5 linked regions of the Oryctolagus cuniculus genome follow. The main gene of each other region encodes a partner of the protein of the gene in region 3 in a complex. Links are inferred from orthologs where the notes say so. Each region holds a gene or a part of one and is shown on either strand. Other genes may lie near its edges.

Region 1 (4,758 bases), on a different chromosome or scaffold from region 3:
CCCGTCACCCTTCCTCCTCCTTCCTTGCCCCACGTCTGGTCACCCGGCGTGCACTCTGCTTCTTACGCTCTCGCTGCACGGCCCACAGCCTGCTGCCACCCCCGCCTCCCCGCCTCGGCCCCTGGCTTACCTTGCCCAGAGTAGAGAAGCTGAGCTGGAACAGGAAGGAGAGAATCTCCACGAGGTCCATGCCCCGGCTCTAGGGAGAGGAGGGGGGACAAGGAAGAGAGCTAGGAGGGAGCAGGTGTGAGCAGGGGAAGACCGGTGTGGGCGGCAGACTCTTGGGCAGAGCGAGCGGGGGGTGGGCCCCAGGCCTCCTCACCTGGGCGGTCTGCAGATACTGCAGCATAAAGTACCAGAGCTGGGCGGGCGTGTCCAGCAGCAGGAACTGGAAGCCGGCGGAGGTAATGCAGGGGGGCTCTCCTGGCTCGGCACTAGAGACGCAGGGGGCAGTGATGGGGACAGGCAGGGAAGGACCGTCACCGCCAGCAGCGCTCTCCGGTTCCCGCCTGGTGTCTTTAGGCTCTGCTGGACCCAGCTCTGCTTTTGCAGTCAACTCCCTCGAACCTGGTCCCACTCCAGACACCATTTACCAAGGACCCAAAGAGACGGCAGAGCAGGGAGTCGCGTTACCTCCAGCTTGCTCACCTCTTCATGAGCCCAGCCTGACTGAGGAGCTGGGCCAAGTCCTGGCTGACGGCCGCACTCGGGGAGCCCACCATGAAGTGCAAGACCACCTGCAGAGCAGAAGACAACACAGAGGCTGATGCCTCTGCGAGCCACAGATGCAGCGGCGCGAGCGCAGAACCGCAGAACCCCAGGGGCCTCACCTCCCATCGCTCCTCTGCGTACTTGTCGAGGGAGGGGACATCCCGGGCATGCTTGTCGGGTCCCAGCTGACTTGTGTCATCAGACCAGGCCTTCCCCCTAAGGCCAGGACGCACCAAGAGGTGAGGAACCTTGGCTCTGTTCCCTGCTGCCTGTCTGCCCCCTCTCCACCCTTACCTCAAGGGCCATGCATAGGGGACACTTCCTACACCATGCAGCTGTATCTGATTCAACTTCTCCCTAAAGGAGTTCTCAAAGGTGGGCCCCGCAAGGCTCCAAGGAGCCCCACTCCCCGCCAGGAGTCTCCTCTCCCCTCCAGGAGTTCCCTCTCCCCCCAGGAGCTCCCCCTCCGGCAGCTGAACTACCTGTCCCCCTGGGCTGGCTTAGGAAGAGATGGAAGTGACATACCCACCGAGAAGGGCGACGCGGAGGTTCTGGCGGAAGACGGGGTTGAGGATGAGGCCCTGGAGGCCTCCAGGGAGCAGCTGGGTGTGCCAGATCCGGAGGCCGCTCAGCAGCCCCGTACTTTGCTCCTGAGCCCTGGAACAGAAGCCGAGATGAGTGCTAAGTGGGTGTCCCGAGAACAAAACGAAGGAGGCCCACACAGGCTCCACTTCTGCCTCTTCCGAACCATTTCAGAGTGAAGTCACTGTCTCCTAAACACAAATTTCTTCCTTTTTAAAAAAAGATTTATTTATTTATTTGAAAGGCAAAGATACAGAGAGGCAGAAGCAGAGACAGAGACAGATCTTCCATCCGCTGGTTCACTCCCCAGATGGCCTCAATGGCCAGAACTGGGCCAATCTGAAGCCAGGAGCCAGGCGCTTCTTCCGGGTCTCCCACGTGGGTGCAGGGGCCCAAGCGCTTGGGCCGTCTTCCACTGTTTTCCCAGGCCATAGCAGAGAGCTGGATCGGAAGTGGAGCCCACATGGGATGCCGGCACTGCAGGCGGTGGCTTTACCCACTACGCCACAGAGCCAGCCCCTAAACACAAATTTCAGAACCTTGCTACAGACATCACAACTCTCCAAGAAGGAAGACACAGCATGCAAGCTTTGTGGTGTACCTATTAGTATTTCCTGAGAGTGTGCCAAAGAACAGCAGTTTGAGAAATCTAGCTGCTGAGAAATTTGTATCTGGCTGAGAGTGCCGTCGAGACTCACTTGCTGAACTCCTTCTTCACCCACAGGGCTACGGCAGCTTGCGGCAAAGGCTGCTCCAGAAAGAGCATCCGCATCACCCAGTTCTTAGCCAAAGATGGGAGCTCTCTGCAGAGGGTAGAGGTCAGAAATCAAAACCAGAAGCTGCCTTCTATCTCTATCTCTGCCTGACATGCCTCTCAAACATCTCATCTCACCAGAAACACACACACACACACACACACACACACGTATCTTAACCAGTCCTGCTGTCCCCAGAACCCCCATCTGTTCCATCTGCATCAATTTGGAGTAATTCCCAAGCCGTGCCAGGCTGCTACGGTTCTGCCCAGGATAACTCATTGCCGTCTGCCAGCCCTACCACATTTCTCCACCACAGTTGCTGCCGTGAAGGGAACTCCTCACCTGAAGACAGCCAGACAGGTGGCAGGGTGCCCATACAATCGATCCAAAACCCCAGGGCTTAGGCTCCCTAAGAATTCCTGCAGATTCCTGCATTGTAGATGCACCCGGTTCAGTCCACCCCTAGAAGGGGTACTCTCCATCACCTGAGAGACAAGTGTTAGCCGCACACCCCCGCGATCCACACCAGGGTCACCCCTGACCTCTGACTCCAGATCCATCAGTCCCCACAGTAATACCCGTGGTGTCCGTTCCCAGGTCATTTATCTCCTGCTGTCTCTCCAAACCTGACCAGCCTCCCCTCTTTCCTGCCTCCTCATCCCACTTCTGCCCACCACTCCAGACTTCCCTCAATTTCCAAGTTACTAACTGGCCTCTACTTGCAAAAATCATTTTGGTTGCAACGACCTGTCTTCTTTAGCTAAGCGGTAGCAAAGAACCTTGTCTGCGCCCACTCTCTCCCTCCGCCCCTCCTGCAGAGCAGTCTGCAAGCTCCAATTCTGTCCGTCTTCCCCATCCTCTACTTCGCACCCCTCTTCTGCGAGGTACGGCAAAACAAACCTCTGCTCTCCACGCTGCTCAAATCCAGACCCACCACTTCCACCTCCCCCAAGTCTACCTCACTGCGTCCACCCCGATCCACACCGTCCCATCCCCTAACTTCTCCCCGACTTCTTCTCCCCGACTTTTCTGCCACTCCCCACCCCTCTCTGCTCTCTTCTACCTCCGTCTACCCGCCCTCCCGGGCCCGCTCACCACTCTGTGCCGACCCCCCTCACTCGCCCCGAGTCTCCAGCCGTCACTTAAACGGAGCCGATGTCCCGGAGATGGGGGAAAGGATGGTCAGGAAATGAGAGAAAAAGATGGAGAGCAACGAGGGATTTCACAGCAGCCCAGAATGGGGAAAACAGAAGAGAAGGAAAGGAAGAGGAGTGGAAAAGTGGGGAGGATGAAAATAGGCGCTGCACTCGGGGGCCGCGGGGCGTACTGGGAGTTGGAGTCCTGTCCCTACGCACCTCGGAGCAAACTGAAGCTATTCTGACTACAACTCCCGAAAGGCAGCGCGAGGAAGCCGGGCGGAGACAAGCTGGCCCTTGAGCGAGCCGGGCCGCCAGAAGTCGGACCATTTTGTTCCGCGCCTCTCTCCGCCCACGCTGCTAACGGCGCTTCTAAACGGCGTGGACCGAGGCGGGACCTGGAGAGAAATGCCCCGAGGGCTTCTTGGTGGAAGGGCGCCAAAAGGCAGGGTGGGGAGGCACTTGGAGAGCACAAAACTAGATTGTTTGAGGTCAGAGGTCCCCCGCGTAAGCGCTTTCGCGAGTTGACTGCTACCCCGATCCCACGCGCCTTGACTCGCGGGCATTCAACAAGTCTTAGTGTCTTTCAGCATGCTTCCAATCCCTGTTTAGTTAGAAGACCTTAATAAATAGGCTGGTTTTTTAAGATTTATTTATTTATTTGAGAAGCGGAGTCACAGAGAGAGAGAAGGAGAGATAAGGAGAGAGGTCTTCCATCTGCTGGTTCACTCCCCCAGTTGGCCACAATGGCTGGAGCTATGTTAATCCAAAGCCAGGAGCCAAGAGCTTCTTATGAGTCTCCCATATGGGTACAGGGTTCCCAAGGACTTGGACCATCTTCCACTGCTTTCCCAGGCCATAGCAGAGAGCTGGATTGGACCAGAAGCAGCTGGGACACAAACTGGCATCCATATGGGGTGCCGGCCCCTTTAATAAATAGTTTTAAACATAGCAGGTTAAGCCACGACGTGCAGTGCCGACATCCCATATGTGCGCCAGTTCCAGTCCTGGCTGCTCCACTTCCGGTCCAGGTCTCTGCTAATGTGCCTGGGCGAGCAGGGGAGCATGTGGGAGACCTGAATGAAGCTCCTGGCTCCTGGCTCCTGGCTCCTGGCTTTGGCCTGGCCCAGCCTGGGTGGTTGCGGCCATTTGGGGAGTGAATCAGCAGATGAAAGATCCCTCTCTCTCTCTCTTTTTCATATAAAGGTGCCTGAGCTCCGTACCCTTCTCTGGCTCCTGCTAAAGCAGACCATGGGACCAGGTGGTGATGGCTCAGGTACTTGGGAGACCTGGATGGGGTTCCTGACTCCAGATTTCAAACTCCCACCCCCCAAGGTCATTGAGAGCATTTGGGGGAATGAAACAGTGGGTGGAACATCTGTCTGTCTCTGCCTGTTAAACTTCAAAAATAAAAAGATAAAGCTTGGGGAGAAATGTTCGATGAAGTAGACAGAATGCAAAAGGCTCTTCCAAAGCAAAAAGACAAAAAAAAAAAAAAGATTGGCAAAAGAGATCACAAGCAATAAGCAGGAAAAATACAAAGCCTTGTGAAGAGTTGGAAAACCATGAAC
Region 2 (5,060 bases), on a different chromosome or scaffold from region 3:
GCCTGGGGCCAGGGGCCAGGGGCCAGGGGCTGGGAACTGCATTCGGGTCTTCCACGTGGGCGGCAGTGGAGCCAATGGAACACACTCCATTTGCTGACATTTTGTTTGGAACTTCCGTGTCTGTGTCTGAGAGACTGGTCTTTAATACTGAGTTTCTTAAAATATCTTTATCAGGTTTTGGTGTCAAGGCTGTGCTTGCCTCAAGGGAGGCTGACAAACACACACCCCCTCTCCATTATCTTAAGAGTCTATGGGCCAGCGCCATGGCTCAATTGGTTAATCCTCTGCCTACGGCGCTGGCATCTCATATGGGCACTGGTTCTAGTCCCGGTTGCTCCTCTTCCAGTCCAGCTCTCTGCTGTGGCCCAGGAGGGCAACGGAGGATGGCCCAGGTCCTTGGGCCCTGCACCCGCATGGGTGATCAGGAGGAAGCAGCTGGCTCCTGGCTTCAGATAGGCGCAGCGCCGGCTGTGGTGGCCATGTGGGGGGTGAACCAGCGGAGGGAAGACCTTTCTCTCTGTCTCTAACTCTACCCGTCAAAAAAAAAAAAAAAAAAAAAAAAAAAAGTCTATGTAGGATGGGTATCACTTCTTTCCCAAAAGGTTGGCAGAACTTACAGCTCTGCCGTTTGACCTGGGGGGTTCTTTCTGAGAATTTTTAATTCATGGAGGCAGTGTTTTAAATGAAGGATTGTTCAGCTTTTCTAGTTCTTCTTGCATACCTTTTGATAACTCTTTTTTTTTTTTTTTTAAGGAATTTCCCATTTCTTCTTTCCCGAACGTATTGGCCTAGGGTTGTTCACGACTTCCTCTTGCGATCTTTTAAATGAACGTGCACGGTGTTTGTAGAGATCCGCTGTCCTGGTACTGATGAACCTCGCTTTTCTCCTGCTCCGTCTCCAGCGTCTGCTGAATTTCTCAGCCTTTTCAAAGACGTAGTATTAGTCGTGGAGCCTCTCCACAGAATGTCATGTTGCTCTTTTCATCTCCTCCCTCCTGTTAGGCTTCCAGGTGACCCTTTCTTATTTTTCTGGTCAAAGATCCCCTCGGGGACACCTGTCCTCAGCACCCACTTCACACGGCAGCCCTCTCGCTCCCACTGGCCTGGGCACGCATCACCACTCCGCGGCCTGAGCGCGTCTTCTCCTTCCTTGTTTTCTACCTCTTCTCTCCGCACCAGAACACAGTTTCCCCGAAGGCCGGGGCGCTGGTGGACCTCGGGCACCGCTGACTCCCGGACTCAGCGTCCGCTCCCTGAGTCCCACGGGAGGCGCGGTCAGCACCCAACACCTGAGGTGCTCCCAGGTAACGTCTGATGCTTGCAGAGGGACACTGAGGCCGAGGCACGACTGGAAACCCAGGTCTCGTGGCCCCTCAGCAAAAGACGGAAGGGGTGGCCAGCCGTGGCCAGCCAACCGGAAGGGCCAGAATCGTCCATCTTGAGCAGCGAGGGCCCTGCTGCACTGCGTTCCTCGCACCCGAACAAGCACGTGGGGCTGCCAGGGTCGGACCGTGGGACACGACCGTGAAGGAACCCCCGGCATTGGCGTCGCCCCATTGCTCTTCGGTTGGTTTCAGACCCAGACCGGGCAAGGACGCTCGCTGGGAGGCGCACGCGGGATGTACGCAGCCGCGTCCTGTGGCACGCGGCGGCTTCCGGCCGCGGGTGCCCGGAACCTAAATTCGGAGGCGTGCGCTTCCGGCCGGAAGGTTCATCCCGACGGTCCCGGAAGCTGCGCTCGCTGCCTGGGTAACGGGCCCTGGCGGCGGCGGCTGTGGCGGCTGTGGCGGCGTGATGGACCTGGAGGAGGCGGTAAGGAGGCGGAGTGCCTGCCTGGCGGCCCCTCGAGCGCCGTGGCCGGAGGGCAGTGAGGCTGAGGAGGAGCGGCGGGAGGACGCCAGCCGGCTGCGCGGCCGGTGTGGGCAGGAGGGCGGCGCGCGGCTGGGGGAGCGGCTGGAGTCGGGATGGGGTCGCCGAGGGCGGAGGGTGAGGCCGCTCAGGTTTGCGGGGCGGCCCCCAGCGTGGCTCCTCGCTCCTGGGCGGGACCACCCCCGGGGCCCCCTGGGTGCTGCAGGGGCGGCGGGCAGAGCCCCAGGGCCCCCAGGACTCCCGCCCGCAGGTGCCCAGCGACCGGCCCAGCACGGGGTCGCCGGAGACGTTACCGAGCTGCCGACAGAAATCTATCTAAATCAATCAATCAATCAATCTATCTGTCTAAATCAATCTATCTATCTATGAATGACACATCTATCTATGAATGACACACTCCGGGTTTCTATCAATCAATCTATCTATGAATGACACATCTATCTATCTATCTATGACACACTCCAGGTCGTCTATCTATGACACATTTATCTATCTAAATCTATCAATCTATCTATCTATCTATGACACATCTATCTATGAATGACACACTCCCACTCTGGGTGTCTGTCTGTCTATCTATCTATCTATCTATGTATCTTTGACACACTCCTTGGAACGCCTATCTATCTATCTATTCTATCTATCTATCTATCTATCAATGACACACTCCAGGTCGTCTATCTATGACACATTTATCTATCTAAATCTATCAATCTATCAATCTATCTATCTATGACACATCTATCTATCTATCTATGACACATCTATCTATGAATGACACACTCTGGGTGTCTGTCTATCTATCTATGTATCTTTGACACACTCCTTGGAACGCCTATCTATCTATCTATTCTATCTATCTATCTATCTATGAATGACACACTCCGGGTCGTTGGAGCGGATTCAGGAGTGCTGGGTATCTGATCAGCGATAAGTCACGTGGCGATAGGCTCTCTCAGAGGAGCGAGGGAGGGCTGCTGGGTGGTTCACTTCTGTGCCCGGCTGCCCCCGAGCCCCCAGCGCCCACCGAAATGCGTGCTGCGCCCAGAGTTGATGCCCGTTACGCGGCCCGAAGAATAAGCAGAAACTTGAAAGAGCTCGCATACGAACGTCTGGTTTCTGGAGCTGGCCTTGAGCACCGCCGAGACGTTGGTCGGGATGCCTGGGTCCCCCTGCTGCCGGGTACCCTGGGGACAGCGCGGTGGCACCCCTGCCACCCAGTGGGAGACCCAGGTTAAGCTTGGGGCTCCTGGCTGTGGCCGGGCCTTGCTTTTCTTCTTGTGGCCATTTGGGGCGTGAACCAGGGCATGGGAGAGCTCTGTCAGTCTCTCTCTGCCGCGCAAGTAAAAATCTTTTAAGAAATCTGGTTCCGGAGCTGGCGCTGTGGGTAGAGGGTTAAGTTTAAGCTTCGCCTGCGGTGTCGATGCTTGGACAGCGGTTCGAGTCCCGGCTGCTCCACTTCTGTTCCAGCTCCCTGCCTGGGAAAGCAGCAGAAGATGGCCCAAGTGCAGGGCCCCTGCACCATGTGGGAGACCTGAAGAAGCTCCTGGCTCCTGGCTTTGGCCTGGCCCAGCCCTGGCTATTGTAGCCATTTGGGGAGTGAACCAGCTCATGGAAGCTCTTTCTCTTCTTTCTGTGTCTCTGCCTTTCAAATAAATAGATGAATCTTAAGAAAGAAAGAAATCTGGTTCCTTGCGGTGAATGTGTGCTTTTAGTGTCCCAGAGGAACTGCAAGTGGTGTTTCTGTACTGATGCGTTCTTACATTTTGTCATTTTTTTCTCACAGCACTATTTCAAGGTGTTTTTTTTTTTTTTAATTTATTTATTTGAAAGGCAGAGTTAGAGAGAGAAAGGTGTGGGGGAGGCTTTCCATCTGCTGGTTCACTCCCCAAATGGTGGCAACAGCCAGAGCTGGGCTGATCTGAAACCAGGAGCCAGGAGCCTCTTCTGGGTCTCCCACACAGGTGCAGGGGCCCAAGGACTTGGGCCACCTTCTACTGCTTTCCCAGGCCACAGCAGAGAGCCAGATGGGAAGTGGAGCAGCCGGGACTGGAACTGGCTGTGGCATGTGGGTACTGCAGGCGTAGCTTTCTCCTGCCATGCCACCATGTCAAGCCCTTCAGGGATTTTTTTTTTTTTTTTAATAAAAACTCATCTTTGGGTCGGCGCCGCGGCTCACTAGGCTAATCCTCCGCCTAGCGGCGCCGGCACACTGGGTTCTAGTCCCGGTCGGGGCGCCGGATTCTGTCCCGGTTGCCCCTCTTCCAGGCCAGCCCTCTGCTGTGGCCAGGGAGTGCAGTGGAGGATGGCCCAGGTGCTTGGGCCCTGCACCCCATGGGAGACCAGGAGAAGCACCTGGCTCCTGGCTCCTGCCATCGGATCAGCGCGGTGCGCCGGCCGCAGCGGCCATTGGAGGGTGAACCAACGGCAAAGGAAGACCTTTCTCTCTGTCTCTCTGTCTCTCTCTCTCTCTCACTGTCCACTCTGCCTGTTTAAAAAAAAAAAAAAAAAAAAAAACCTCATCTTTTTTCTAGCTTACCACTACATTTTTGACTTCTTTCTTTTTGCTAACAGACTGTGTCTTAGTGATTTTTAGCACCAATGTGGTTGCTCACTACTCAGAAGACTGAGTCGCCCTTCTTGTTCGCAGTGTCTCGCGGAGAGCTTTTCGATGTTCTGTGCTTTCGTATTTATCGGGTGAGATTGCCAGGAAAGCTCTGTGCGGAACTGCGCAGAAATGCAGGGTACACAGTGTGGGGCGTGTTTGCCGGTAACACCTTTTCTCTCCTCTTGTGCAGAGAGAGTTTCAGGAGCGCTGTACTCAATGTGCTGCTGTCTCGTGGGGTCTTACTGATGAGGGCAAATATTACTGCACATCTTGCCACAATGTTACAGAAGTAAGTAACATATCCTTTATGAATTTGCTTGGGATTTAAAAATTGCTATTTTAGCCTGGTATGTTCCCTGGCTTCCAAAGAACGATGTATTTTTATCACTCATGCAGCATACCCAATTCCAGGAAGGATGACAAGAAGTCATCCAGTGCTTACACATGAGCCAAGGGTCTGTGAGTTAGATTGAGGATCAGTTTTTGAAATTATGTTGAGCTACATTTATCAGTGACTTCCTGATTCAGGGCTTACGGGAAAGGAATTAAAATTGTACTGAGAAAGTGCTACATTTATTTTTAT
Region 3 (5,063 bases):
TGATATAGCTATACTTAAAATATAGACAAGAAAAAGGAAAGATATTCAAGACAAAAATAGCAACTTCCATCTCCATAACCATATTAAAAGAAGTTAAAAGCACTCCTGTCCAAGATGGCAAGACAACCACCCTCATTAGCACAGAACAATGCAGTGATGTCTGCCATGCAGTAAGTGCTCAAGGAAAGCTAGCTCTTGTTGACAAAGGGTAGCTTCTATAGAGCATGCTTCAGCGTGCTATGGAGTGACGCTGAAACTCCCGGTTCCAGCTGCTAGGAAGGTAGGTATCATACTGGGAACAAGTATGTACACGTGTAGATCTGAATCTCTGTGCTATCATTTGTCACTACCCTACCATTTCATAGGGTACCAGGCAGGATCCATTCGAATTCTACATGGGTTGATCCATTCATCTCCACGCATCATCAGAATCACCTTGATACTTTGATTGCTGTTAGAAAACAAGACAGCTTGAAACGAGTTGCAGTTCTAGAACCACTCTCTCATCTTTATCCTAAGATAATGACTTTGTCTATACATCTCGTACAGAAGCCTATTGCGACTCGTGTATTGAATGACTGCTTCTCTTTGATTGTAACAGGGGTGATGGTCATATGTATGCTGTGTTAGCATGTTTGTGGAGGAAGAAGCAGGAAATTGCTGTTTCCCCAAAAATATTTGATTTTTTATGTGAAAATCTCCATTTAAAAATGTTTATTTATTTGAAAGGCAGAGAGAGAGAGAGAGAGAGAGGTGTCTTCCATCCACTGGTTCACTCCCCAAATGGCCTCACTGGCCAGGACTTGGCCAGACCAAAGCCAGGAGTCAGGAGCCTCCTCTGGATCTGACACGTGTGTGCAGGGGCCCAAACAGTTGGCCATCCTCTGCTGCCTTCCCAGGCATACTAGCAGGGAGTGGGATTGGAAGAGAAGTAGTTGAGACTTGAACCACTGCCCATATGGGATGCTGATGTCACAGGCAGTGGCCCTACCTGCCACACTGCAATGCTGGCCCTAATACTATTATTTTATTACAGAGGCACAGAGGCAGAGAGTGAATCAGCTGGCTCGCTCCCCAAATGCACACAACAGCCCTGGTTGAAATCAGGAGCCAGTCACTTAATCCAGTTCTCCCATGTGGGTGGGAGGGAATCAAGTACTTGAGCCAGAAACTGCTGCCTCCCAGGACGGCCATCAGCAGGAAGCTGGAATTGAGAAGTGGAGCTGGGCTAGGCCAAACTCCTGCCCCCTGGAAAGACAGGGAAATCCCAGTTGAATGTCTCAAGTTGGTTTGTGGAGATGCAACCACACAGTTTTAACTTCTGGAAATGAAAGGTGAAGCTAAAGTTCTCAAGTTGATGGATGGAGTCCTACTTAATAAGATACCAAAGACACAGTGCATGTGGGGGAAGCAAGCCTGCTTCTACAATTAACTTTATAATAACTGTTAACAATTATTTCTGGGGCCAGAGCCGTGGCGCAGCAGGTTAACCCCCGGCCTGAAGCGCCAGCAGCCCATGTGGGCGCCGGTTCTAGTCCTGGCTGCTCCTCTTCTGATCCAGCTCTCTGCTATGGCCCGGGAAAGCAGTGGAGGATGGCCCAAGTCCTTGGGCCCCTGCACCCACATGGGAGACCAGGAAGAAGCTCCTGGCTCCTGGCTTAAGATCGGGCAGCTCCGGCCGTTGCTGCGAATTGGAGAGTGAACCATCAGATGGAAGTCCCCTCTCTCTCTGGTTCTGCCTCTCCTCTCTCTGTGTAACTCTGACTTTCAAATAAATAAATCTTTAATTATTTCTATAAAGTTGTAATAATTTCATTTTCTTAGCTCTGCTTCTATTCTAAGTAAAATATCTTTTGTGAAAGAAGTAAATGAATGTAAATGTTCGAATCTAATCGGCATTTATGCCACTGAATATTCTTTGAAAGAATGCAACTCCCACAAGCACGTCTTTTTTTTTTTTTTTTTTTTTTCTCCTAGGAATACATGGGACCAAGGGAGGGCCAGTGAACCGCTAAAGCTACCAAAATCCTTTAGCTTTAAGTGCGAGGTGTCGAGGGCGCTGCCCCGCAGGTGCGCCTGCACTGTAAAACGAGTAACAGGCGTGGAGGCGAGGGAGAAGCAAAGGGCTGGAGAGCAAAAACACGATCAAGCATGACAAGGACGGGAGGCGGCTGGCACACAGCCCCAGCACAGGTACCCAACAACCTGAAAACAGCCTAGAATGTGCTTTTCTACGGGGTAACAAAAAAAAAAAAAAAAAAAATCACTGGTTAACCGAGTCTAAGTCATCAGAGGAACGGCGCGTTCAGGATTCCACCGGCACTTGTCACCTCCGTCCCTCTTAGTCTCGGTCCTTCCGGAAAAGCGTTCATTTCCGCCAATCTCACGAGTCAGAAATACAAACTTCCTTTGAAGAACTGTTAAAATGATTTTCTTTCCTGAAAAATGAGAATAGCTAAGTGTTAAAAAATGTGCTTGATGTCCACAGAGTCCGTTGCGAGCAAGAAACTAGTTTTAGAGTCTTGCGCAAACTCGGTTTCCGGGCCGGGCCGGGGCGGAAGGGGCGGTGCTCGTCTTGCGTCACAAGCCAGCGCCGGAAGTTGACAGCGACACTGCGTGTTGGGAGCAGATGCGGAGTTTCTCCGTTCTACGCAGGTAAGGAGTTATGGGGCTGGGGTTTAGGTGTGGGTATTTGAGCCAAACCAGAAAGACACTTGGGGGCTAAGAAGGTCCAGTGCGAGGTTAGAGTCAGGAGATGCTGGTGGAGGAGTTGGTGCCGTCAGTGCTTTGCCTGGTTTCTTTTAGTTGAGCTGTTTAGCCATTGGGAATTATTTTAGTATTCTTCCCGGCGGTTAGTCTGTTCCGTTTTGGAGGGATATTCATGTGTTAGATGAGAACTCGAGTTTTGAGCCGAATCTGAATCCTTTTGCCTGCGCAAACTAGTATCTCTCAGCCTCGCTTTCTTCGTGTATAAAACAGGAGTGACACTTGAGGGTTGTTGTGAAGATTATAATGAAGGAACAAAATGCGGATCATTTTCTGTCGTGCCCAGTTTGGGGTCGACTCTCAGTACTTGTGTGTGTCTGTGTGGTTTGCCCCTTAGACCTAACTCCCAGGCACGGAGAAGAGCGCAGATGAGGGGGAACTGGGATCTCTTTCAGTTTTTCCTGAAAAAACAAGGGGAGGGAGGGCTGTTCGGGTTTGTGAGGAACCCCTTTGAAATACTGAGGATTTGATTCTGTGTTTGCAGGGACTGACAATGGACGCCCAGAAAGACGTTCAGCCCCCAAAGCAGCAGCCAATGATATATATTTGTGGAGGTAAGGATAACGCTACATAAAGTAAGAGTATTTTGCTTAATTTGTTTTTGAAATTATTACATTTATCCTTTGAATGAATGAGTCATTGGTGTTTAAAGTTATAAAGGAGCGCCTCGTAGCACCACTTAAAACTCTTATTTGCTCTGGAAAAACAGCATTGCCCACAACTCTCTTCTTTCCCATTTAGTATATTTTGTAATATCATACCCTTGCCTGATATGGTTAAGATAATTTGCCTGTCTGCACTGTTTTCCTTTTAAATTTGAGTAAGCCTTTTTTTTTTTTTTCTCCCTAGAATGTCACACTGAAAATGAAATAAAATCCAGGGATCCAATCAGATGCAGAGAATGTGGATACAGAATAATGTACAAGAAAAGGACAAAAAGATGTATCCTTTAACTCTACTTTTAAAATCTGAGGTAGGAGCCAACTGTAGAGTGATGCAGGGGTTGATAGACACTACTTCTGGTAGAAACCGTAAGAACTTTGGATTAATTAAAGAGATATTATTAGCATTTTTCATAGACAAGAACTGAAGCACTAAATAATTGAAATACTAGTTGATTTTGATTCTCATAAGTTTATTTTCCAGAGATTCTGTATTTACATAAGAACTGATTGTTCAGCTTGACAAATAAATTATACAAGGAGTAATACAAATATTGTGTATGCTACTTAGTAGGAAAAAGTGGAGCCAACACATGAGACTAAACACTGAGAGTGAGTTGTAATTTTCTAACATAACTTTTTTAAAATCACAAGTTATTACCTTTAGCATTCAGTGCTTTTTGATACATTGGGTTTTTTTTCATTGGTTGGGAAAAGTGCTAATAAAAATTGAAAGCTTTTATTTACTTTATATCTAGTTGTTGTAATAAATAGTGAATTCCAGGTCTTTGTGCATTTTAAATTAACAAACTAGCTTGTTGCACATGTAAAGTGATTTGGAAGTCTTCAGTCTTTTTCTGTAATTTTCAACTACATTTTTTTTTTCCTTAACTCAGATGAATACAGTGGTGGTCTTTGATGCGCGTTGAAATGTGCATTCAGAGGAATATCTTCATTTGTACTTGCATTTGCTGTTAATGTTTCTCATTGTTGTATGGCTTTTGGTTTAGCATCTTTTTGAACTACGTATGATTTCATTTTGAACCATATTGTATTTAGGTATCTTTTAATGTAAAGAAGTTAGATTACATGACTTATAATTTAATTTTATTGTTTATGTAATGTGACACAAATGAAGGTTAAAATTACTTTCTTAAACTATGCTTGCAAGCAGAACCTAGAATCATCTGGGGTCTTTGTGAAAAATGCAGATTTTTAGAGCCCTCTGAAAGTCTAATTAAATAAATTCCTTGGAAATCACTGTGTCATGAGATGTTTGTGAAATTTCCAGTGTCTTTGGTACAGAATGTAGCAGTGTGTTTGCTGTCAGCATACGTATGTCATTTTAAGTTCAGTTTTTCATATACTACATGTCCTGTGGTAAGTAATAGGCCTTTCTGTATACTGTATGAGTATTTTTCAAACCTTGGATGAGGAAAGGGAAATGGTTTAATGGTTGCTTTTTTTTTTTTTTTTTTTAAGATTTATTTGAAAAGCAGAGTTGCAGAGATAGGTAGGGAGAGACAGAGAAAGAGATTGTCCATCTCTAGTTCTCTCCCTAGATGGCCACAACAGTCAGGGCTGGGGCAGGCCAAAACCAGGAGCTTCTAACTGGGTCTTCCATGTGGATGTAGG
Region 4 (4,937 bases), on a different chromosome or scaffold from region 3:
GCACCACAGTGAAATGCCTGGGCTCCACTCCTGGCTCCAGTTCCTGAGTCCAGGTGCTAATGTGAAACTCAGGAGGCAGCCATGATGGCTCAAGTCATTGGGTTCCTGTCAGCTATGTGGGAGACCTGGGTTGAGTTCTAAGCTCTCACTTTTGCCCTGGCCCAGCCCTGACAGTTGCGGGCATTTGGAGAAAGAATCACAAGTTGGAAGTTCTTCATCTCTTTTCACTCTGCCTCTCAAAATAAATAAATAAATAAATAAATAAATATGTAGTTAATGTATGACTCAGAAATCCCATTTCTAGCTATAAAACCTAAAAGGATTGAAAACCTGTCCATACAAAAACTTGTGCAGATATTCACAGCATTATTTGTAATAGCCAAACAGTGGAAACAACCCAAATGTCTACCAACTAGCTAAATAGATAAATAAAAATACAATACACACAATGGGTTTCATTTTTTAAAATGGAAGAACAGAGGCTGTCTATTATAGCACAGTGGGTTAAGCCACACTGCAACCCATATGAGCAACAGTTTGTGTCCTGGCTGCTCCACTTCCAATCCAGCTCCCTGCTAATGTGCCTGGGAGAGCAGTGGAAGATGGCCCAAGTGCTTGGGACCCTGCCACCCACACAGGAGACCCAGATAAAGAGTCCTGGACTCCAGGCTGGTGCTATGGTGTAGTAGGTTACGCCTCTGTCTGTGGGGCCAGCATCCTAAATGGGTGCTGGTTCAAGTCCTGGCTGTCCCACTTCTGATCCAGCTCTCTGCTATGGCCTGGGAAAGCAGTGGAAGATGGCCCAAGTCCTTGGGCCCCTGCACCTGCATGGGAGACCCGGAAGAAGCTCCTGGCTCCTGGCTTTGGATCAACACAGCTCTGGCCACTGTGGCCATCTGGGGAATGAATCATTGGAAGTAAGACCTCTCTCCCCCTTTCTCTGTAACCAGCAAGTGGAAGATCTCTTTTTCTCCCTCTCTGTAACTCTGCCTTTCAAATAAAATAAATACATTTTTTAAAAGAACCAAAAAACAAAACAGTTCTGGGCTCCTGACGGTGGCCTGGGTTGCAGCCATTTAGGGAGTGAACCAACTGACAGAAGATCTCTTTTTCGCTCTCTTTCAAATAAATATTTTTTTTTTAAAGCGGAAGAACATGTTTTATTGGAAAGGCAGACGGTCAGACACAGAGCTCCCATCTGCTGGTTCACTACCAAATGTCTGGAACAGCCAGGGCTGGGCCAGGGGCAAAGCTTAGAGCCCGGAACTCAATACAAGACCGCGCTCTCCTTGAAGCCACAACTCGAGCTGAGTGTCTCCCCAAGTCCGCTCTCCGGCGATCCTTACTGAGCGAGAAGGACCAAAGAGGTTACCAGCTAAATTGGGCTTGCAGCAAGCTTCACTTCCGGTATTTGGGGGCGGAGGAAGGAAGGATTTGAGTGGGGCGGAAGAGAGTTGAAGGTGCGCTCTCGCCCTGTTCTAGTTCTGTACAGTTCTAACCGGTCCATTCGCTCCATGGTTTTGGTTCCAAGTCGACCCTATAACACCGGAGGGCCGAAGGCGGGCGGAACATGAAGAAACTACATTTCCCAGCAGGCCGCGGGCGCCGGGATTCCGGCAGCGACTCCTGCGTGTGGCGCGCTGCCGCTGGCTTCTCGGTGCTCCGGCGGACACATGGATCCGGTTGGCCGGTGGCGGACCCTGCCCAGCGGGCCTAGCCTAAAGCACTTGACCGACCCCTCTTACGGGATCCCGCGGGAGCAGCAAAAGGCGGCCTTGCAGGAGCTGACGCGGGCGCACGTGGAGTCGTTCAACTACGCGGTGCGCGAGGGGCTCGGCCACGCGGTGCAGGTGAGCGCGGTGCCTCCCCCGGCGCCTCGGAGGGCTGTGTGCGCCGGCAGGCTGGCGGAGGAGGGGGCTGGGCAGGGTGCATGAGGCTGGGGGCTCGTGGGGGAGAAGGTCCCGCAGGCGGGCGGGCGACGGGGTCCCGGCGAGGCGCCGGGGAGGCTCCGGTTTTGCTTAGCTTCTGTGGAGTGGATCCTTCGATTCTGCGGCTCAGAATTCATGTGTGCATCATGTGGATTTTTTCAGAACACAACTAGTTTCATCCTTCGGGGATTCCTAATTCACAGATTCATTTACTCACTAAAATTTACTTGTGACTTTCCGTGCGTAGAACAGCAAACATTTGAGTTGCCCGATGCGCGCGTTCCCAGCTGAGATCCAATAAGACAGTGTTCTGCCTCTCGATTTCAGTTCTCAGACATAAACACCTGTTCTTTTTGCTGTCTGGTGCAGCCTTTTTCACATTTTTGTACTGTTTGTTGATAATTTTGCAACTTGAAATAGTGCCTGAAAACATACATTGAAGTACTTTGTGTTGTTGCTGGGCACAGGAAAGCTGTGATGAAAATACACGTTAGGTAAGCTTCATTCAGACCATTCTGCTGTTAAATTTATTATTTATTTATATGAGAGGAAGAGAGAGGGAGCTCTTGCCCACTGGTTCGCCACCCCAAATGCCCGCAGCAGCAGGGGCTGGGCCAAGGCAGGGACCAACTGCTTGATCATCACCGCTGCCTCTCGGGGTCTGCATTCGCAGGAAAGCGGAGTCAGAGTTGGGACGCAGGTGCAGGCGCTCCAGGGTGGAATGTGGGCATCATAAGTGCTAAGCTGAACGCCCGCTGCTCAGCCGTCTATCAAGTGAGGCGCCCTTTAACAGGAACAGGTAGGGCGAGGTTCTGTACTGATCGGCTGATGGCAAGCTGTGACAGAGGCTCTCAGGGACTTGACTTCGTGTTTCCCCGGAGCGTGGGTCAGCGTTTGCGGTAACTTTAAAGAATTTCACTAACGTGAGCGTCAAGGCTCAGCGGCGTTTACCTGCCGAGAGTGCAGCTGTGGCTTGCACGAGTGAGTCTTTTTTTTTTTTTTTTTTTTTTTTTTTTTAAGATTTATTTATGTGAGAGGCAGAGTAACAGAGTTGGGGAGGGGAGGAGAGAGAGAGTCTTCCATCCACTGGTACACCCCCCAAATGGCTGCAACACCTGGGGCTGGGCCAGACCGGAGCCAGGAGCTGGAGAAGCAGATCTTCCTCTTCTTCTTCTTCTTCTTTTTTTTTTTTTAATTTATTTGACAGGTAGAGTTATAGACAGTGAGAGAGAGAGAGATAGAGAGAAAGGTCTTTCTTCCATTGGTTCACTCCCCAAGTGGCCGCTACGGCCGGCGCTGCGCCGATCTGAAGCCAGGAGCCAGGTGTCTCTTCCTGGTCTCCCATGCGGGTGCAGGGCCCATGCACTTGGGCCATCCTCCACTGCCCTCCCAGGCCACAGCAGAGAGCTGGCCTGGAAGAGGGGCAACTGGGACTGGAATCCAGAGCCCATATGGGATGCCAGTGCCACAGGCGGAGGATTAGCCAAGTGAGCCACAGCACCGGCCCCGAAGCAGATCTTCTAATTGCCTCTCCCTGTTTTGACACTACATCCCTTAGACATGAAATATATTTAACATTTCAGTTCTAAAGTACCATCAGTCTTAGATAAAACTGAGAAAAGCTGGGTTGAATTCACATGAGGGCGGATGGCCTGTGTATTCTTAGTCGGCTCCGCCGTCCGTGTTCCTGTCATTCTAACACTAAGCCGGAGGGTTGTTTGTGTCTGGTGGGCTGCCAGTGTGAGCCCAGTCGGAAGGAGGCTTCCCTCTCCTTGCTGTCTGAGCAGGGTCAGACTGGAGAAGGTCGGCGCTGGGGTCAGAGAGCAGGCGCGTTGGCCTGGTGCCAGCTGTATCCTGAGAGCCTCCTCGCTCTGCTCATGGCAGACAGAACAACCCCGAGTTAACGCGTGGCAGCCTGAAGTGCGTAGTGAAGAGTGGACCGCATGTCGTCTTAACTCTCTTCTGTTTGTCACGGTGGCGTTGCGGGCTTCAGTGCTTAAGGAACACAGGGATTTGCAGGAGTCCTAGAGAAAAAGTGCCTTGGAAATGCAGGCCGTGTAATCATGCGTATTGTATTCCAGGCCATAGCTCCCTTTGAATTCGCTTTCAAAGATGAGCGCATCACTCTTACCATCGTGGACGCTGTGATCAGTCCCCCCACGGTTCCCAAGGGCACCATCTGCAGAGAGTTCAACGTGTACCCAGCAGAATGCCGGGGCCGAAGGAGCACCTACCGTGGGAAGCTGACGGTGAGTGTGACCGCGCCTGGCTCCCACAGGGCGGATGGCTTCTGGGGTTCATACAGAATTCTGCCTTCTTGGTGCTGGCGTCTGAGAGCGCCCGTCTTTGAAACCTGAAGCATGAAGTCATTCGATGTAGTCTGCTTCCTAAGAGTGTTTTTCTCTTTTTCACCTAGGCTGATATCAGCTGGGCAGTAAATGGCACCTCCAAAGGAGTCATTAAGCAGTTTCTCGGCCATGTTCCCATCATGGTGAAGTCCAAGCTTTGCAACCTGTACAACCTTTCTCCCCAGGCCCTCATTGAGCACCACGAGGAGGCAGAGGTAGCGGTGGGGTCCGGGCCCCGGGGCAGTGAAGTTCCAGGGTGGGAAACGTGCTAGGAGCGGGTTTTCTTTCTCTGCTCCAGTTTCTGGATAGGTGAAATGAGATGTTGATACCCTGTCTGCACACTCTCTCAGGCTCTTGTTGACTGTTCCCCAAGGCAGAATGAAAAAATGCTTATATAATTGAGCAATTGAGGGAGGGGGGTGGAAAGAACTGGGAGGTTTTCCCCAGTTTTCTGAATGATGGTTTTTTGGAGACTTTTAGGAATTTCGTTTGTTTAAAGCTGTGTTAACCCCCAGAGCTGCTGTGAGAAATGTCTGTCTGCTGGGGTAGCATTCTGTGAGCGTATTTATGATTCGCACACCTTCTCTCCACGGTGGTGGGTGGCTTCGCAGCGCTGAGCTGGAAGAATCGAGATGAGCTGGTTCTGCCTGCAGTAGGGAGA
Region 5 (4,972 bases), on a different chromosome or scaffold from region 3:
AAACTAGGCGGAAGGTGAGGGATCTCAATGAAATTGGGAGTACCTCCAAGGAGGAAACAAAAAGTCCTCTTAAAACACTTTGCAGGGAGAACTACTAAGAGTGATGTTATTTGGGTACATTTTCAGGCTAATTGCCACCTGAATCTTAACTACACAAAAAATGTTGATAGAATCAGTTTCACATAAGCTACTAGGAACACAGATGTCCTGTGATTAATTTTTTCTTTAAGCACTTCCGACCAGGAGCTGTGCAGCGAACTACTAAGCAACAAACTGTGAAGGGCAGATTGGAGTTAGGAGCTAAACCATAGAGCTAAATACACTGTACGCCCTCACCCATTCACATTCCTATTTGCCATCTCCCATTTTCTATTAACGGCCTCTTGCTTTTCTAATCCTTTCCCGGAGCCTGGCAAGGTGCATCTTCCCCCCCCTGGTAGCATGCCTTTGATAAGTCTTCAAACCTGGTTTCACCCACACAACTCTTCTGATATTCTGTTTTGCTTTGCCTTTTGAAGATAAACCCCCTCACTCAAAATTCCCGGGCTAGAGAAAATGAGGTACTGAGGGTTCTGCCTTCGGGACAGCGCACTCTGTTCCGCGTGAGATGTTGACATCAAAGCTGGCTTTGCTTGGGTGAAGCAGGTCAAACGCCTATCGAATGCCCTCCACGACACGGACACATGCTCCCAGCTCTCTCGCAGGGAGAGGCCGTGTTAACTGGTGGGTCAAAGGCTCGTACTTCACGTGTGATTAGTCACTCCAGGCTAGCCACGTGGAGTCATGGCATGTTGGCAACATTTTTAAAACGCCAGGCAAAGTCATCGCTCTTCCATAGTCCAGCGGCTGGAGTTTCGCGCTTTGTCATTTCCATCAGGCTGCGAAGTCATTAAAACCACGCGGGCTAGCGGGGGCCGAAAGTTTGGGGACACTTCGCCCCCAAATCCTTGATACCCAGACTCAGCGTGGGGACAAACAGCTGCGCCGGCTTCGGAGGTTGCTAATTCTGGACCGTGCAGACCGAGGACCCAAATAGACTCCCACCCGCTTTTGAAACAGACTCAGCCCTGCGAGAAGAGGCCCACTCAGACGCGCGCAGCCCCGGGGCCACAAGATGACTCCGCACTTCACACCCTGTCCCGAGCCAGGCGCGCCAGGGGCCCGGAAGCCGCTCCACGTGACCCGCGCTCCTCCTCGGCCGCGCCGAGCGCGGCGGCGGCCACCGCCCCTTTCCCATACCCCAGCTCCCGCAGCGCCGCTCGGCGCGCAGACGTCTGACAGGAGGCGTTCCCAGCTAGCTGAGCCCTCGGGTGTCACTAGAACTCGCGCACCTTTCCCAGCAATGCCTTGCAAGCTCCCGGTCGCAGAGGGCTGCAGGAGACTTCCGCCTGGTTGCCAACCACGTGATCACGCGAGACTTGGGGAGCCGGCGGGCCAACTCCACTACTCCAGTCCCCGGGCTCCGCCCGCCCAGCGCCCTCCTTCGCGCGTAGCGACGCGGCGCGAGGCGGCCTCCGCCCCGGCGCGCCTGCGCACGCGGCTTCTCGCGGTGTCTCGCGCTCCGCCCCGCCCACCTCTGCCCCCGCCCTTTCCGCCCCTCCCTCCCCCTCCGCCCTGTCTCTCGGCGGCGGCGGCGGCGGCTCGCGCAGCTTGTTGGCTCGCTATATAAAGGGGAGAAGCGAGCGGACCGGACGGCTGGAGCTGCAGCCGGTGGCGGCAGCGGCGGCGCGGGGAGCGGTGACCGGTGGTTTCCCTCCTTGGCACGGGGTGGGGAGTGGGCAACGCCCCCCGGACCCCCGAAGGGTCTTGGCGTGTTTTTTTTTTTTAAGGCATTTCTCGAGGTTTTTAGCTTCGGGAGGAGAGAGTGTCCCCTTCCTTCTCCTCTCACCGCTTCCCCCTCTCCCTCAGAATCGATTTTGTTTCCATTTTTTGCCCCAATCTGTGGTGACTTGGGTCGCCCTCCGGGTGGTTTTTCTTTTCTTTTTTTTTTTTCTTTTTGGTTTTGTTTTGACCGTGTTTTCCCGGGGTTACCCCCGTGTTGTTTGTGTTGTGTGTGGAAATGGCGAACTCGGCAAATACAAACACCGTGGTAAGGACGTGGTTCGGTGGCCGGAGGGGGCTTCGTTCAGGCGGCAGCAACGGCCGGACCGGGCGGGGGCGGGGACGGCGGCGATCCCGGCCTCGGCGCTGGAGCCGCCCGCGCGGTCGCCGCCGCCGCCGCTTCCCGCCTCGGGCGGCCCGGGCCGGGGCGGCGGGCGCGGGGGGGGCGCCGAGGGCTCGCGGCGGCGGCGGCGGCGGCGGGGCGGGCGGGGGCGCCGGCGGGGCCTGGGGAGGTCCGGGCCGCGGAGGCCGTTGGGCCCGGGCTGGCGCGCGGCCCCGGCCCCCGGCCCCGGCCTGCGGGCGGGCGGGCGGGCGGCGAGCCGCCGCTTCCCGCGAAGGGGGCCCGTCGGCGCCGGCTCGACCAGGCTCCCCAAGCGGCCTCGGAATCAGATCCGCGGCTGGGGAATTGGGCCAGCTCCCGGGACCCGCCGGGATCCACTTGAACGCAGTGGAAGGCTTAGGGTTACTTGGAGGATTACTTTGGGTTTTTTTGTTTTTTGTTTTTTTCCTGGCGGTTGTGCTTTGGGGACCTTCAATGGGGCCATTTTATGTTAAAAAAAAAAAAAAAAAAACAGACGAAGGTTGAAAAGCACTTATCTCAGTTCCTTCCGAATGGGTAAAATGGCGAAGGGGAAGCAAAACCCCCGTCGTATCTTCAACTAGCAAAAGCACCAGAACAAACCCCAAAAAGCCTCCAGTGGTCAAAGTGCCCCGCTTGCGCCTTGAAATTTGCCTACTTCTTCCCGTGAGTCCCTTTTTGGTTCCTTGCGATCACGTAGGTTTGCAAAAAGCAGTCACATAAATAACCTTTTCAGTCACCAACGCAGTGTGATCACTAGCCCACCCAACTCTTCTTTTTACTACGACAATAAAACACGTTTTTGCCCGGTCCCGAATGCCGCGGACAAACCCGCGGCCGCCCGACACCGTACCGTTGGCGACTCGGGTCGATCCATCATGGCTGCGGCCGCTTACCCTGCTTTTCAGTCCCTGAGCCTTGTGGTCCTCCTCCCTTTGGCTGCCCTGTTTATATAGAGCCATTGCCGCTCTCTAATATAGACTCTGCCAGGATGGGAAGGTGCTTTTCAGGCCTACGTCACCGCCTCTCCATTTAAACACCAGATCCGGCTTTAAATAGTGAGAGCTGCTGAGCGGGGCTGGGAGGTGCGTGCTCCCGAGGCGAGAGGCAGGCGCGTGCGGAGCTCAATTTATTTCTAGGTCCTTTTCTGAGGCTGTAATTTCCCAGCGGACGAGGGCTGCTTTCAGAGCCCCAGTTTTTTGTTTGGATGCGGTAGCTAGGATTTGCTTCCTTTGTTTGGGGAAATGCGCTCTCTTATTGGAGTCCTTTTTTTATGTTAACATTTTTGATATTTTAAAACACGGATGGTTTAGTCGATTTTTGTGTATTGAAAGGTGTGCGTGTTATTGTAGGGAATTTTTTAAATGATTTTGTTGTTGGACTAGAACTTGGTTATGATAGCATGTTGTTCATCAGGTATTCAGGAAATGTTAGCAGTGTTTCATGTTTTACTCTAATGAGGATATGACGCTTCTCAAAGAAACAGCTAAGTTCCTAAAGCCTCAGTTTATCCACATACATTACTGTGTAGGACAATTGTGAGTTACAAGAATGAGGAGACCTACTGCAAACTGGCTTTTAAAATATTAAAGTTCTAAGTAGGTGTTGGTTTATTGCCCTGGATATTAATTTGGTATCCAATATAAAAATGATTCCAATTAATATGCCAGGATTGCAGCAGTACTGATACTTTTGAAAGAAACCTTCGAGTTGATCACTTGACTGGGCCACTAATGACCTTCTAATTTGCCACATTTTGAGCCTGGAATTGTCTTTAAAAATCAGGACAAATATAAATTACTTTTCATTTAGCAAAAAACTTCGCTCAAGTAAAGGATAATTTTTTAAAAATTTGAAAATCACTGATTTCAAATTCCCAAGAACCTTTAATGACATCAGTATTTTGAGGGCTTTTCAAATTGTAAGCAATTTTCCTCTTTAAGCATAGACCTCATAAGGAATACATATTCCCTTCATGCCTCCACTATAGTGATTATGAATACATTAGGTGGCCAAGTGTTGGTTCATTTAAGGCAGAAAAAGAACATCTCAAAGGCATGTTTGATTTGTTCAACAGGGAGGAGTACCAGAAGAAAACAGATTTTTTCCTGTAGACATTTGGGTCTCCAAGAGTTTTAGGGTAACTGACTTTAGAAACATCCGGTTTGCTGAAAAAATAATGTGTATCATCAAATTGAGATTTAAACCACCTACTTAAAATTATGTTGCCTATTTATAATGCCTTGTGGAGTCATTGGTAAAGTACATTTTATAGATATATTTCTATAACTCAGTAGTTAAATTGTTGTAAGCAAGATGATACCCATAGTCAGGTATAGTTTGCTTATATATAGACTCCGAATGTTGAAGGGAGGAAGCATTGTAGAGATGCTCTTTTAACAGATAATATCAAGTTCACATAGGTGGATTTGGCAAAATCAAAAAAGCAAGTTAGTGAGTTGAACAGTAAAGGCAACAGTCTGGATATTTGGGTTGTTTTTCTGGTTGTCATGAAAAGGAATGGATAGTTTCTAATCATTTAGGAAAGTTTTACTGGCAAACTCATTATTTTTGGCTAGGCCAATGACACATTTTCTTAGAGGTTCCTCTGTGATAACAGTGTTACTGGTAGAGAAATTAATGAAACATTTCTTTTTGAGGTTTGCTTTTGCCAGCAAGCCGTTGTTTTTATTAGCCAATAGCTTTTACCTTAAGCAGGATGTAAAACAGGAGTAATTATAAAGCATTTTTAAAAAAACTGTTTACCTTAACGTATGTGATGATGGATAGGAT

What was found. Proteins that work in one complex are often made in the same cells at the same time.
Region 1: POLR2K (region 3) and GTF2H4 share a complex: the UniProt entries of both Homo sapiens proteins name them as parts of the TBP-based Pol II pre-initiation complex. The link is inferred for Oryctolagus cuniculus from reciprocal best matches to the Homo sapiens genes POLR2K and GTF2H4.
Region 2: POLR2K (region 3) and TAF1B share a complex: the UniProt entries of both Homo sapiens proteins name them as parts of the pol I pre-initiation complex. The link is inferred for Oryctolagus cuniculus from reciprocal best matches to the Homo sapiens genes POLR2K and TAF1B.
Region 4: the proteins of POLR2K (region 3) and POLR1B are in contact, whole or in part, in a cryo-EM structure (PDB 7OBA), measured with the Homo sapiens proteins. The link is inferred for Oryctolagus cuniculus from reciprocal best matches to the Homo sapiens genes POLR2K and POLR1B. Residues at the interface, in NP_005025.1 of Homo sapiens: Met15, Tyr17, Gly20, Glu21, Ser30, Arg31, Asp32, Pro33, Ile34, Arg35, Cys39, Gly40, Tyr41, Arg42, Ile43, Met44, Tyr45, Lys46, Lys47, Arg48, Arg51, Val53, Val54, Phe55; in NP_061887.2 of Homo sapiens: Val87, Ile92, Cys93, Lys94, Glu95, Val98, Ala101, Glu102, Gly105, Arg106, His159, His160, Gln704, Asp705, Val793, Phe794, Gln805, Asp808, Asp809, Asp810, Leu812, Pro813, Phe814, Ile815, Gly816, Ala817, Lys818, Leu831, Val848, Asn851.
Region 5: POLR2K (region 3) and GTF2A1 share a complex: the UniProt entries of both Homo sapiens proteins name them as parts of the TBP-based Pol II pre-initiation complex. The link is inferred for Oryctolagus cuniculus from reciprocal best matches to the Homo sapiens genes POLR2K and GTF2A1.

Annotation. Positions count from the first base shown.
Region 1 is NC_091436.1:139,556,360-139,561,117, forward strand, and holds the start of GTF2H4 (general transcription factor IIH subunit 4), read right to left. Parts: upstream 3,368-4,758; 5' UTR 3,147-3,367; intron 2,537-3,146; 5' UTR 2,534-2,536; coding exon 2,394-2,533; intron 2,097-2,393; coding exon 1,992-2,096; intron 1,369-1,991; coding exon 1,237-1,368; intron 928-1,236; coding exon 831-927; intron 738-830; coding exon 649-737; intron 435-648; coding exon 323-434; intron 200-322; coding exon 131-199; intron 1-130. UniProt on the Homo sapiens protein: Component of the general transcription and DNA repair factor IIH (TFIIH) core complex, which is involved in general and transcription-coupled nucleotide excision repair (NER) of damaged DNA and, when complexed to CAK, in RNA transcription by RNA polymerase II.
Region 2 is NC_091433.1:192,380,784-192,385,843, reverse strand, and holds the start of TAF1B (TATA box-binding protein-associated factor RNA polymerase I subunit B), read left to right. Parts: upstream 1-1,693; 5' UTR 1,694-1,794; coding exon 1,795-1,812; intron 1,813-4,667; coding exon 4,668-4,766; intron 4,767-5,060. UniProt on the Homo sapiens protein: Component of RNA polymerase I core factor complex that acts as a GTF2B/TFIIB-like factor and plays a key role in multiple steps during transcription initiation such as pre-initiation complex (PIC) assembly and postpolymerase recruitment events in polymerase I (Pol I) transcription.
Region 3 is NC_091437.1:125,591,777-125,596,839, forward strand, and holds POLR2K (DNA-directed RNA polymerases I, II, and III subunit RPABC4), read left to right. Parts: upstream 1-1,952; 5' UTR 1,953-2,655; intron 2,656-3,250; 5' UTR 3,251-3,259; coding exon 3,260-3,320; intron 3,321-3,615; coding exon 3,616-3,708; exon of another isoform or gene 3,709-3,739; intron 3,740-4,334; coding exon 4,335-4,357; 3' UTR 4,358-4,688; downstream 4,689-5,063. UniProt on the Homo sapiens protein: DNA-dependent RNA polymerase catalyzes the transcription of DNA into RNA using the four ribonucleoside triphosphates as substrates.
Region 4 is NC_091433.1:113,612,868-113,617,804, forward strand, and holds the start of POLR1B (DNA-directed RNA polymerase I subunit RPA2), read left to right. Parts: upstream 1-1,570; 5' UTR 1,571-1,673; coding exon 1,674-1,850; intron 1,851-4,009; coding exon 4,010-4,177; intron 4,178-4,344; coding exon 4,345-4,491; intron 4,492-4,937. UniProt on the Homo sapiens protein: Catalytic core component of RNA polymerase I (Pol I), a DNA-dependent RNA polymerase which synthesizes ribosomal RNA precursors using the four ribonucleoside triphosphates as substrates.
Region 5 is NC_091451.1:27,054,885-27,059,856, reverse strand, and holds the start of GTF2A1 (transcription initiation factor IIA subunit 1), read left to right. Parts: upstream 1-1,605; 5' UTR 1,606-2,059; coding exon 2,060-2,089; intron 2,090-2,708; exon of another isoform or gene 2,709-2,845; intron 2,846-3,032; exon of another isoform or gene 3,033-3,138; intron 3,139-4,972. UniProt on the Homo sapiens protein: TFIIA is a component of the transcription machinery of RNA polymerase II and plays an important role in transcriptional activation. TFIIA in a complex with TBP mediates transcriptional activity.